Macaca mulatta: one gene and its partners. The protein of the gene in region 1 interacts with the protein of each later gene in a pairwise test. Links are inferred from orthologs where the notes say so. Each region holds a gene or a part of one and is shown in the gene's direction. Other genes may lie near its edges. The genes, in order: UBE2D4, RNF25 and RFWD3.

Evidence for each region.
Region 2: the proteins of UBE2D4 (region 1) and RNF25 interact in binary tests that used the Homo sapiens proteins (3 or more experiments, as listed by UniProt). The link is inferred for Macaca mulatta from reciprocal best matches to the Homo sapiens genes UBE2D4 and RNF25.
Region 3: the proteins of UBE2D4 (region 1) and RFWD3 interact in a two-hybrid assay, tested with the Homo sapiens proteins (2 studies listed by BioGRID and IntAct). The link is inferred for Macaca mulatta from reciprocal best matches to the Homo sapiens genes UBE2D4 and RFWD3.

What each region holds. Positions count from the first base shown.
Region 1 is NC_133408.1:84,434,946-84,438,694, reverse strand, and holds the start of UBE2D4 (ubiquitin-conjugating enzyme E2 D4), read left to right. Parts: upstream 1-1,373; 5' UTR 1,374-1,390; coding exon 1,391-1,432; intron 1,433-1,446; exon of another isoform or gene 1,447-1,846; coding exon of another isoform or gene 1,847-1,870; exon of another isoform or gene 1,871-2,040; intron 2,041-3,749. UniProt on the Homo sapiens protein: Accepts ubiquitin from the E1 complex and catalyzes its covalent attachment to other proteins. In vitro able to promote polyubiquitination using all 7 ubiquitin Lys residues, but may prefer 'Lys-11' and 'Lys-48'-linked polyubiquitination.
Region 2 is NC_133417.1:123,911,552-123,915,300, reverse strand, and holds the start of RNF25 (E3 ubiquitin-protein ligase RNF25), read left to right. Parts: upstream 1-1,535; 5' UTR 1,536-1,567; coding exon 1,568-1,608; intron 1,609-3,749. Other genes in the region: STK36 (serine/threonine-protein kinase 36), read right to left, coding at 624-707. UniProt on the Homo sapiens protein: E3 ubiquitin-protein ligase that plays a key role in the RNF14-RNF25 translation quality control pathway, a pathway that takes place when a ribosome has stalled during translation, and which promotes ubiquitination and degradation of translation factors on stalled ribosomes.
Region 3 is NC_133425.1:69,948,432-69,952,080, reverse strand, and holds part of RFWD3 (E3 ubiquitin-protein ligase RFWD3), read left to right. Parts: intron 1-189; coding exon 190-304; intron 305-1,547; coding exon 1,548-1,779; intron 1,780-3,649. UniProt on the Homo sapiens protein: E3 ubiquitin-protein ligase required for the repair of DNA interstrand cross-links (ICL) in response to DNA damage. Plays a key role in RPA-mediated DNA damage signaling and repair.

The sequences.
Region 1 (3,749 bases):
GATGCTGTGGTGATGGAAACACTTGATAGTCAGGTGGGCTGGAGGTAGGAAGGAGAAGGTAAAGCTGGAGGATACTTGATTTTGTTTTGAGTTTTTGTTTTTTTGAGACTGGGTCTTGCTCTGTCTCCCAGCCTGGAGTGCAGTGGTGCCATCACAACTCACTGCAGCCTTGATCTCTCGGGCTCAAGTGATCCTCCCACCTCAGCCTCCCAAGTAGCTGGGACTACAGGCGCACACCACCATGCCCAGCTAAGTTTTGTATTTTTTGTAGAGACGGGGTTTCACCATGTTGCCCAGGGATGGTCTAGAACTCCTGGACTAAGGGATCCACCCACCTCAATCTCCCAAAGTGCTGGGATTACAGGCGTGAGTCACTGTGCCTGGCTGAAGATCCTGGATTTTGAAGGCCCCTGAATGACAGTGAATGTGATGCTATAGGCCACTGGGCTTCCTTGAAGAGTTCTGGGTAAGGATGCAGTGTGGTAAGCTTTATATTTCAGACAGTTTATGAAGTTGTGTGGAGGACAGATTGGGGGAATAGGAGCATGAAAGCCAGGGACAAAGCTGGGCAACCATTGAAATGTCTATAATACATTTTGTTTCCTAAGTACAAACATAGAGGTGACCATGTGTCCTGGCTGGCTGGAGACAATCCTAAATTATGGCTTTGGTCCCAGAGTAATTATATTAAGAGCCACTTTCATGCTCAAACATGTCTCAGTCTGAAGATTAAATATCATCTACATATACACAGCAACAAAACATCCACAATTCTTACCTTCACTGTGTGAAAGGCACTGACATTTTTTTCTCTTTTTTATTTTTATTTTTTATTATTTTTGAGACACAGTCTCACTCTGTTGCCCAGGCTGGAGTGCAGTGGCGCGATCTCAGCTCACTGCAACCTCTGCCTCCTGCGTTCAAGTGATTCTCAAGTAGCCTCTCAAGTAGCTAGGATTACAGGCATACGTTACTATGCCCAGCTAATTTCTGTATTTTTAGTACAGACGGGGTTTCACCATGTTGGCCAGGCTGGTCTCGAACTCCTGACCTCAAGTGATCCGCCTGCCTCAGCCTCCCAAAGTGCTGGGATTGTAGGCGTGAGCCACTTCGTCTGGCTTTTTTTTTTTCAAATGTTGGTTGCAACCTATTAAATTGATTTCGTGACACACTAAATAGTTCATAACCCTCAGTTTAAACAACTCTGACCTACACGCCTGCCAAGTCTTAGGAAAACAGGAAGGAGACAGCTAATTAAGTTTGGGTGATGCATAGTCTAAGGCATTGGTTCTCAACATTGGCAGTGCAAGATCACGTGAGGTACGACTGAACACGGAGATCTCCAAAACTGCGGAGAGTTGTGCGTGTGCACATATGCACAGACATCTACATGGAAATGGCTGTAACGCATCCAGCCATAAGGCGTACAAGGGTATGTATACTTACAGAGTTAAGAACCACTATTCTCAGGAGTTATATGACAGCCTGAGAAGACGCCCAGGATGTAGGAACAGGGAGCAAGCGAGCGTTTGGCACCTTGAGGGTGCTCCGCGCGTCTGGTAAAGCCAACGAGCCCCTCCTCTTCGCTGGCCTCTCCGGGGCCTTGCTGACCAGTGGTCGAAGCCACAGGACCGGGTGCGGGTGGCCAGCGTAACCGGGGCAGCCCCGCGGCTTCCCCTCGGCCGCGCCAGGACGCTCTGCACGCGGCGACGACGGCCCCACAGTTCCCCGCGCGCGCAAGCGCAGGCGGCGGCTCCCGGCGTGCAGCTCGGTGGCGGCTGACCCGGCAGCGGGCCGCCTCAGGCAGCCCTGGCCGGGCCGCCCGGGTCCCCGGCAGCGGGGTAGGATGGCGCTAAAGCGGATCCAGAAGGTACGCACTTTCCCACCCTCCGACTCTTTGGGTGTCCGAAGCGTCGAGGTGTGGGCGGGGCGCCGCTGCCGTGAAGTGAAAGGTGACAAAGGCTCCGCAAGTCGCGGATACACCTGCCTAGGAAGGTGGCCGAACAGCCACCCGCGCAGCCTGAAAAGCTAACGCAGCCTGAGAAGGGGATTGCGCGAGCGCGGGGCGGGGCCGGGCCGTGACCACGTGGGCTGCGTCACGCTGGCGGGGCGCCGTGGGGCCACCTGCAGGCTCCTGGACAGCGGGTTGCTGGGTCCCCGGAGTAAGGCAAGCTTGCTCCTCTAGGGTATCCAGAAGGGCTGGATGGGTATCCAGAAGGGTATCCAGAAGGGTATCCAGGATGAAGCTGGGTCCTAAGCGATGAGTAGGAACTCGGCAGGTGGGGAAGAGGGAAAAAGGCTTTCCCGGCAATGGGGAGACCACGAGGCCTGGAGGACTGACAGGATAGGGGAGAAGCTGAAGGGCAGATGGTGTGGACTCGGGTGGTCCTTAGGGGCAGTGCTGAAATAACTGATTTTTATCCTGTAGGTAAGAGGGAGTCCATGAAGGTTTAATGCATTCACTAGGATTTGGAAAATGCACAACAGTAGAAGAAAGAAGTATTTCTAATCCTATCACTTTACTATTTGTTAACATTTTAGCATACCTATGTTCAGTTTTTTCTATATTTAAAACAATTATCCTGCATTTTGTATTCCACTTATTCACATAATAGTAAATGTAAGCATGTTGTGAAGTAGTATTTATAACTTTTTTTTTTTTTTGAGACAGTCTTGCTCTGTCGCCCAGGCTGGAGTACAGTGGCACAATCATGGCTCACTGCAGCCTCAACCGTCCGGGTTCAAGTGATCCTCCCTCCTAAGCTTCCTGGGTAGCGGGGACTACATGCCACCATGCCCAGCCAATTGTTTATTTTTTGTAGAGACAGTGTCTCACTATGTTGCCCAGGCTGGTCTCATACTCCTGGGCTTAAGCGATCCTCTTGCCTCCACCTCCTAAAGTGGTGGGATTACAACGTGAGACACCATGTCCAGTTCTGTAACTAATTTTTAACATTAACTTTCCACAAGTACATGACTAGTGACTTATTTAGTCATTACCTGTAGTAGGTAAAACTGTAGTAGGTAAAAGTATGAACTTGGGTGTCAGACCTGGGTTAGAGAATGTGAGGTCACTTATAGTGGGACCTTGGGTAAGGCACTTAATCATTCCTAGCCTCCCAGTCCTACATGTTTACAGAGTTGTTTCGAGAATTAAATGCTATGAAATGTGTTTAGCACATGCTTGCTGTATACCAAGCACTCAATATGAGTTAGCTGCTGTTGTTCAAAATTCTTCACTATTTGCTGTTATGAACTTTGTATTAGGCTGTTTTGTTTGCTATAAAGGAATATCTGAGGCTGAGTAATTAATAAAGAAAAGAGGTTTATTTGGCTCTCAGTTCTGCAGGCTGTACAAGAAGCATAGTGCCAGCATCTGCTTCTAGTGAGGCCTCAGGAAGCTTACAATCATGGCGGAAAGCAAAGGAGAAGCAGGCGTGTCACCTGGTAAGAAAGGGAGCGAGAGAGATGCCAGCTCTTTTAAACACCCAGATCTCGCATGAACTAATAGAGTGAGCACTCACAGATTATTGTTGGGGGGCTACCAAGCCATTCATGAGGAATCTGCCCCCATGACCCAGACACCTCCCACCAGGCCCCGCCTCCAACACTGGCGATCACATTTCAGCATGAGATTTGGAGGGGACAAATATCCAAACCAGATCAACCATCATTGTACAGTGAGCCTTTTCCTTAATTCACATTACTGGGTTTGATTGCCAGAGGTGGAATAACAGGATCTCTGAGAG
Region 2 (3,749 bases), on another chromosome or scaffold:
TTAGAGTGTTTGAGTAACTCTTATTATTTCTGTCAGTCTCCTGCTTCCATTTTCTCCATGGTACCCTGGCCTTATCCAGGCTTTCCCCACTCCTCATCCCAGGAGGAAACAGCATGGGCAAAACATCTCACCTTCTAGGAGAAGTGTTCTGATTTGACCAAAGCAGTCAAGATGAGATTTAGGGGAAAGGAAAGGAAAAAAAATTAAGAGGAAATAATAGAGTTCAAGTGGTTTACCTCTTACTACATGGTGTGCTAGAGACTAATAATAATAATATTTGTTGTTTACTAAGAGCCAGGCACTGTACTAACTGATTTAATGTGACAACATACTTAATCTCAAATGCCATCAATCAGTTGCTGTTCTTATCCCCATTCTAGAGATGAGGAAATTGAGACATAGAGAAGTTAAGTAATTTGTCCATAATTCTAGGGTTAGAAAGCGGTGGAGATGGAACTTATACCCAAATAATACAACTTCAGAGCTTATACTCCATAAGAAGTATGAGAGAGTCAATGCCTTAGGAATATAAACTGGTATACATACATCCCTTCTAGACCCATTTTCCACTGGAGTTGGGGGTACCAAATCCCACCCAAAAGGTATCCCTCTTTGTACAATACCTGAGCACTGTATTTTCTTCGACCCTTGTACACCCTCCCAAAAGAGCCTTCTCCAATCATCTCCAACACGTGGTACTTTTCCATGACAGAGGTTTCAGAATCTCTTAGAAGGAAAAAGGTAGAGACGGTGAAGAGCTATAGATCCAGGGACAATTCCACAACATCTGGGAGGCCTAGTTGGGGCATGGGAAAGGAAAAATGTTAGCCATCTTGCCTTTTCTCTTTTTCACAAAGACCAAGCCTCAAAAAACATGGGAGGGTAGAATGATGCAAAGATGATGCGATCTTGGAACAAACACAGCATCTCTTTGTAGTTCCTCTCCACTTTCAGCCTCCTGTCCCCAACCCGGCCCCATGCCCACCTGACACCTGGTCCCCCTTCTCCCTCATCCAGCTTGGCCCACTCGACCCTGCTCTCTTAACCTAGCATCGCCCACCCAACCCTGCTCCTTCGAGTCTCCCCCAAGTTCCTGCCACTCCCAGATTCCTCAGCACCTGCTCTCAGACCCCCTGGCCCATGCGCTTCGCAAGCCAGGGTCCCTCTCTCATCCCCAGCCTAGGAGATCCAAGCTCCTCGGGCCCAGGGACGGATTCCCTGGCCTTTAGCCCCATATCTTCTGGCTGCCTGCATACGTTGCCTGACTTACAATTCTTCTCCACCCGCCCCTCTCGCCAGTCTCTTTTGGCTCCCTTTCTAACAATTTCACTCGCTAGAACTGGTGAGAAGTTCAGAGGACAAAGGCGCTCAGAGGTGTGGGAGGGACGGCGGACCACACATGGGCACTTCCTGGGACGCATCCGAACTGCCTCTGGGCCATCAGGCCCGGCTAAGGACCCGGAGTCTGCGGTTGCCTAGAAACGACGCTAGCTGCCCACCCCTCTTAGTTTTCCGCCTCCGACTTCCCTAAGGGCATTTCCGGTTCCGGCTGCGGGCCGGTGAAGACATGGCGGCGTCTGCGTCTGCAGCTACAGGGGAGGAGGACTGGTAACTTCGGGGGCATGGGCTTTGGCTGACAGTCTGGGTCTAGTCCAGAGGCCTAGCAGCTGTCGCAGACGGTCCGTACGGCGGGCGTGTGGGGTGGAGCGAAGGATGAGGGATGGCAGAGATGCTGACATCTCCTCTGGGAGATCTTCTAGACTGGGGAACGGGAGGGTGGAGGGGCGCTGATCTGAGTGAGAAGAGACCGGGTCTGCGCCCGCCAGACCAGTTCAGGCCTCGCCTTATCCGGTTCGATCCCCTTTCCTCCAGCTTCACGCTATCCCTTTCTATGCTCCTCAAATGAATTTTCTCAGGGGCTTTGGGGGATGCCTGCCCGTCAGACCTCCCCATCTCCCTTTCGCCTCTCAGAACTAGTGCCCTCCAGTTCGGTACCCCTTTCTCCTTGGATCAGCGTTTTTCCGCCGACGCTTTCCTCAACCTTCTCTCTCCCACACAGCACTAGTGAGGACTATTGTCTGAATAAAGCTTTACACCTCACATAAAGTCCCTCTAGTCCTTCTCTCAAGCATTCTTAACTAAAGACTAGAACATGGAAGGACTCTGGGATTTGGAAGTAGGATCAATGTGGGTTAACTCCGCATTTTATTAGCTGTGTGATGCTGACCAGGCCATCTAGCTTCTGTGAGTCAGTGTCCTCAGCTGTAAAAACAAAGTGGGTGTGGTATTTACCTCAGAATAGTTGAGAGGATCACGATGGATTTGTAATATACTTAAGTCTGTTTTTTTGTTTTGTTTTGTTTTGTTTTGTTTTTTGAGACAGAGTCTCACTGTCACCCACGCTGGAGTGCGGTGGTGCGATTATGGCTCACTGCAGCCTCAACCTCCCCAGGCTCAGGTGATCCTCCTGCCTCAGCCTTCCAAGTAGCTGAGGCTACAGGTCTGTGCCACCATGCCCAGCTAATTTTGTATTTTTTGTAGAGACAGAGTTTTGCCATGTTGGCCAGGCTGGTCTTGAACCCCTGGGTTCAAGTGATCCTCCCACCTCAGCCTCCCAAGGTGCTGGAATTACAGGCGTGAGCCACCACACCCGGCCTCCTTTTCATTAATAACTGAGGTGCAGGCACCTGGGAAGATTAGATGAGCCCCAAAGAAGTAAAGTGATTTGCCAAAAGGTGGAAAATTGCGACTAGAAATCCACATCTATCTGACTCCACACCTTAGATTCTTTATACTAGGACATTCTTCAGTCCCCTCTCCCCCATTTTGTTGTCACCACCTTACCAGCATCCCATCCAGGACCCACATAACTAGGGTAGGCAAAGTATTGAAGGGCCACTTGACTGAGGCTACACCTCAGTGTTACATTGGTTCAGGGAGCCCTGCTAGTACTGGCCTTTATTAAGACTATCTAGACTACTGGTTTTCAAAGTGTTCAGGGAAACTTTTTCTTTTCTTTTTTTAAGAGACGGAGTCTTACTTTGTCACCCAGGCTGGAGTACAGTGGCAAGATCATGGCTCATTACAGACTCAACCTTCTGGGCTCCAGCGATTCTTCTGCCTCAGCCTCCCAAGTAGCTGGGACCACTGTGTCCAGCTAATTTTTTATTTTCTGTAGAGATAGTCTCGCTTTGTTGCCCAGGCTGGTCTCGAACTCCTGGCCTCAAGTGATCCTCCCACCTCAGCCTCCCAAAGTGCTGGGATAACTTATAGTTGACCTGTTCAGGGGAACTTTTAAGATTCAGGGGAAACACCTTGAGCCATGGAGAGAACAACAGTGAGTGCAGCAGCCTGTAGTGCTGTGAGACTCCCATCCCATGTCAGCCAAAACTACACTATTTTCTGTGAGGTGTAAAGCTTTGTATTTTATATTTTGAAGTTTCTGCCTAAGACTTAACAACAACTGACATAAGTCATGCTGGAGCAGCCTTACTCTTAGAATGAAGAGAGAGCAGTATGAGAAAGGAAAGTATGCATTTTTCCATGTATCACCTGGTAGAGCTGTAGACACAAACTGATCACTCAGCTTCAATTTCAATACAACTACTGTTTCTATGCTTATGCATGTGTGTCCTCTGATTTACATCGGAACATGGATGCTAACCTCAACAGGCTGATCTAGATCAACCAGACAGCCAGGGTCATAAATACATCCAGAGTACTCTACTACCTCCCTCCTTCCCTCTTCC
Region 3 (3,649 bases), on another chromosome or scaffold:
GACCATCAGTCCCTGCTTACCCCAAAATCTGTCTCTGGAGAGATTTTTCTCTTTTTATGTTTTATTCACTATCATAACATATTTACAGCAAAGAATATGCATCATAGCATGAACTTTATTCTGCCATCTTGATGGGAAGTCTTCTGTAGCCTTCCTAATCCCCAGTTGTTGCTGGCTTCCCCCCCCTAGTTCCCTACTGAAGGAACAGATGCTAAGGAAGCAGGCCGAGTTAGAATCAGCACAGTGCCGACTCCAACTGCAGGTCCTCACTGATGAGTGCACTAGGCTTCAAAGTCGTGTTCAGGTATGTTTATCCTTTCTAACCCAAATAACTTTTGGAATAGGAATGGAAGAGGAATCTAAATGCTACTTATGTTCATCTCAGAAATAAATAGGATTTGCCAAGTTATTTAGGAAATAAACATGACCAACTGCTTATTTTATTTCTGATTAGGGCATCTGTTCAAAACTTACTACACACTTTATAATGAAATCTACTATAGTCTGAATTTTATTTTTATTTTTTTATTTTTTTGAGATAGAGTCTTACTCTGTCATCTAGGCTGGAGTGCAGTGATGTGATCTTGGCTCACTGCAACCTCTGCCTCCTGGGTTCAAGCGGTTCTCCTGCCTCAGTCTCAGCATTTCAAGGAGCTGGGATTACAGGTGCCCACCACCATGCCCACTTAATTTTTGTACTTTTAGTAGTGACAGGGTTTCACTATGTTGGCCGGGCTAGTCTCGAACTCCTGACCTCAGGTGATCCACCCGCCTTGGCTTCCCAAAGTGCTGGGATTACAGGCGTAAGCACTGCACCTGGCCTTACAGTCTGAATTTTAGAAAAAATTAAATAGCTAACCAAGAATTCCAAACTTGTTTAAGTAAATCTACCAATAAAATGAGGGCTTTACCAGGAGTTTGAAGGTTACAGTGAGCTGTGATCGCACTACTGCACTCCAGCCTGGATGCCATGGATGACGGAGTGAGACCCTGTCTGCTTTTTTTTTTTTTTTTAAATGGCTTTAAACAAAACCATCATTAAGGACTTTCAACCCTCATATTATGATTCTGTGCTCTCCTTTTTTCACTTGTTGACATACTGTAAAAAATCAGCAGTTCTGGCCAGGTGTGGTGGCTTACGCCTATAATCCCAGCACTTTGGGAGGCCAAGGCGGATGGATCACCTGAGGTCAGGAGTTCAAGACCAGTCTGGCCAACATGGTGAAACCCCATCTCTACTAAAAATATTTAAAAATTGGCTGGGTATGGTAGTGGGCACCTGTAATCCCAGCTACTCAGGAGGCTGAGGCAGAAGGGCCTGAACCCAGGAGATGGAGGTTGCAATGAGCCAACATGGTCCCACTGCACTCCTGGGTGACAGAGTAAGACTCCATCTCAAAAAAAAAAAAAACTCGGCAGTTCTCTAGAATTTATGTTAACATTTTCATGTAATGGATAAGAAATCTTCTATATAAGATCAAGGAATTGTGTTTGAGGGGAATATCAAATTAAAAAGCTTTGTATTTATAAAATCTTTTTCATTTTAGGACTTGCAAAAGCTTATGTCACATCAAAATCAGAATTTACAGCAACCCAGGGGCTCCCAAGCATGGGTCCTGAGCTGCTCACCCTCCAGCCAGGACCAGCACAAGCACAAGTACCACTTCCAAAAGACCTTCACAGTATCTCAGGCAGGAAACTGCCGGATCATGGCATACTGTGATGCTCTGAGCTGCCTGGTGATATCACAGCCTTCTCCTCAGGCCTCTTTTCTTCCAGGTAAAGAGTCTAGAACCTCAGCTTTCATGTTCTTTATTAGACTCCATGTGTTTATTTCCTTGCTCTTTTGGAAAATTCAAGACTCAAGGCTCACCAAATCACCTTTCCCTCTCAGTTCCTTGTTAATGCAAGTACCCCAGGGTGCAGCAAAGATGTCTTTACTGTCTATTAACTTCATTCTGTAAATTTATTAACCAAGAGGGTAGAAATACTGATAACCATGACAAAGCAGATGGTGAGGTCCTTGGAAGTGTAGGTTACTGATAGAGTCCAAGAAGTCCTGTTCAACTTACAGATTCTTTTTAGACTGGAAATGTTTGACAGAACACTACCCTAGGGGTAGTTCAAGGTGAAACAAAATTTAACACTTATTTTCAGTAGTGTTCAAGTTAACAATTTCCAAATAAGAGAGTTTAAGGAGTACACTGACTATTAATGCTAGATTAATTTTCTCTCAACATATTTTGTGCTTTTTGGCCGGGCGCGGTGGCTCAAGCCTGTAATCCCAGCACTTTGGGAGGCCGAGACGGGTGGATCATGAGGTCAGGAGATCGAGACCATCCTGGCTAACACGGTGAAACCCCGTCTCTACTAGAAAATACAAAAAAAACTAGCCGGGTGAGGTGGCGGGCGCCTGTAGTCCCAGCTACTTGGGAGGCTGAGGCAGGAGAATGGCGTGGACCCGGGAGGCGGAGCTTGCAGTGAGCTGAGATCGGGCCACTGCACTCCAGCCTGGGAGACAGAGCAAGACTCCGTCTCAAAAAAAAAAAAAAAAAACAAACATATTTTGTGCTTTTTAAGCTTTATTTTAGGTTTTCTAAATGTTGAAATCCAAGTCTTTTCAAATGCTCAATTAAATCATTTCTAAATCTTGCAGATGTTTCTTTCTGCTGTCTTTAGCATAAGATTTCTGCCAACTGGAAGACTCCTTTGCTTTAACATGGTTTTATAATGGTCCTTTATCCCATCTAAGTTTTTAATAAAAAGATTTGTCATCAAATAGAACCAACAAATTGGAAAAATAACTATTTTCTAATGTTCCCCAAATTGGGAATGTGTTCTGTTCTTTTTTTCTTTTTTTTTTTTTTTTCTTTTTTTTTTTGAGACGGAGTCTCGCTCTGTCGCCCGGGTTGGAGTGCAGTGGCCGGACCTCAGCTCACTGCAAGCTCCGCCTCCCGGGTTCCCGCCATTCTCCTGCCTCAGCCTCCTGAGTAGCTGGGACCACAGGCGCCCGCCACCTCGCCCGGCTAGTTTTTTTTTTTTTTTGTATTTTTAGTAGAGACGGGGTTTCACCGTATTAGCCAGGATGGTCTCGATCTCCTGACCTCGTGATCCGCCCGTCTCGGCCTCCCAAAGTGCTGGGATTACAGGCTTGAGCCACCGCACCCGGCCCTGTTCTTTTTTTCTTAACGTGTCCATTCCAGTCCGCTTGATAGTGTGCTGGTGCTGATTTGTCCTTGTTCCCCTTAATGATTAACTTGGTGTGTATTTCTGTTACCTTGTTGATTTTTTTTTTTCTTTTTTTTTCCTTTTCTTTTCTTTTTGAGATGGAGTCTCGCTCTGTTGCGCAGGCTGGAGTTCAGTGGTGTGATCTCAGCTCACTGGAACCTCTGCCTCCTGGGTTCAAGAGATTCTCCTGCCTCAGCCTCCTGAGTAGCTGAGACTACAGGTGCATGCCACCATGCCTAGTTAATTTTTGTATTTGAGGGTTTTAACATTTTGGTCAGGCTGGTCTCAAACTCCTGACCTCAGGTGATCCACCCATCTTGGGCTCTCAGAGTACTGGGATTATAGGCATGAGCCACCATGCCCAGCGACCTTGTTGATTTAAAGCCTATACCTGCACCTGCACACACCCCCACCCCTTGCT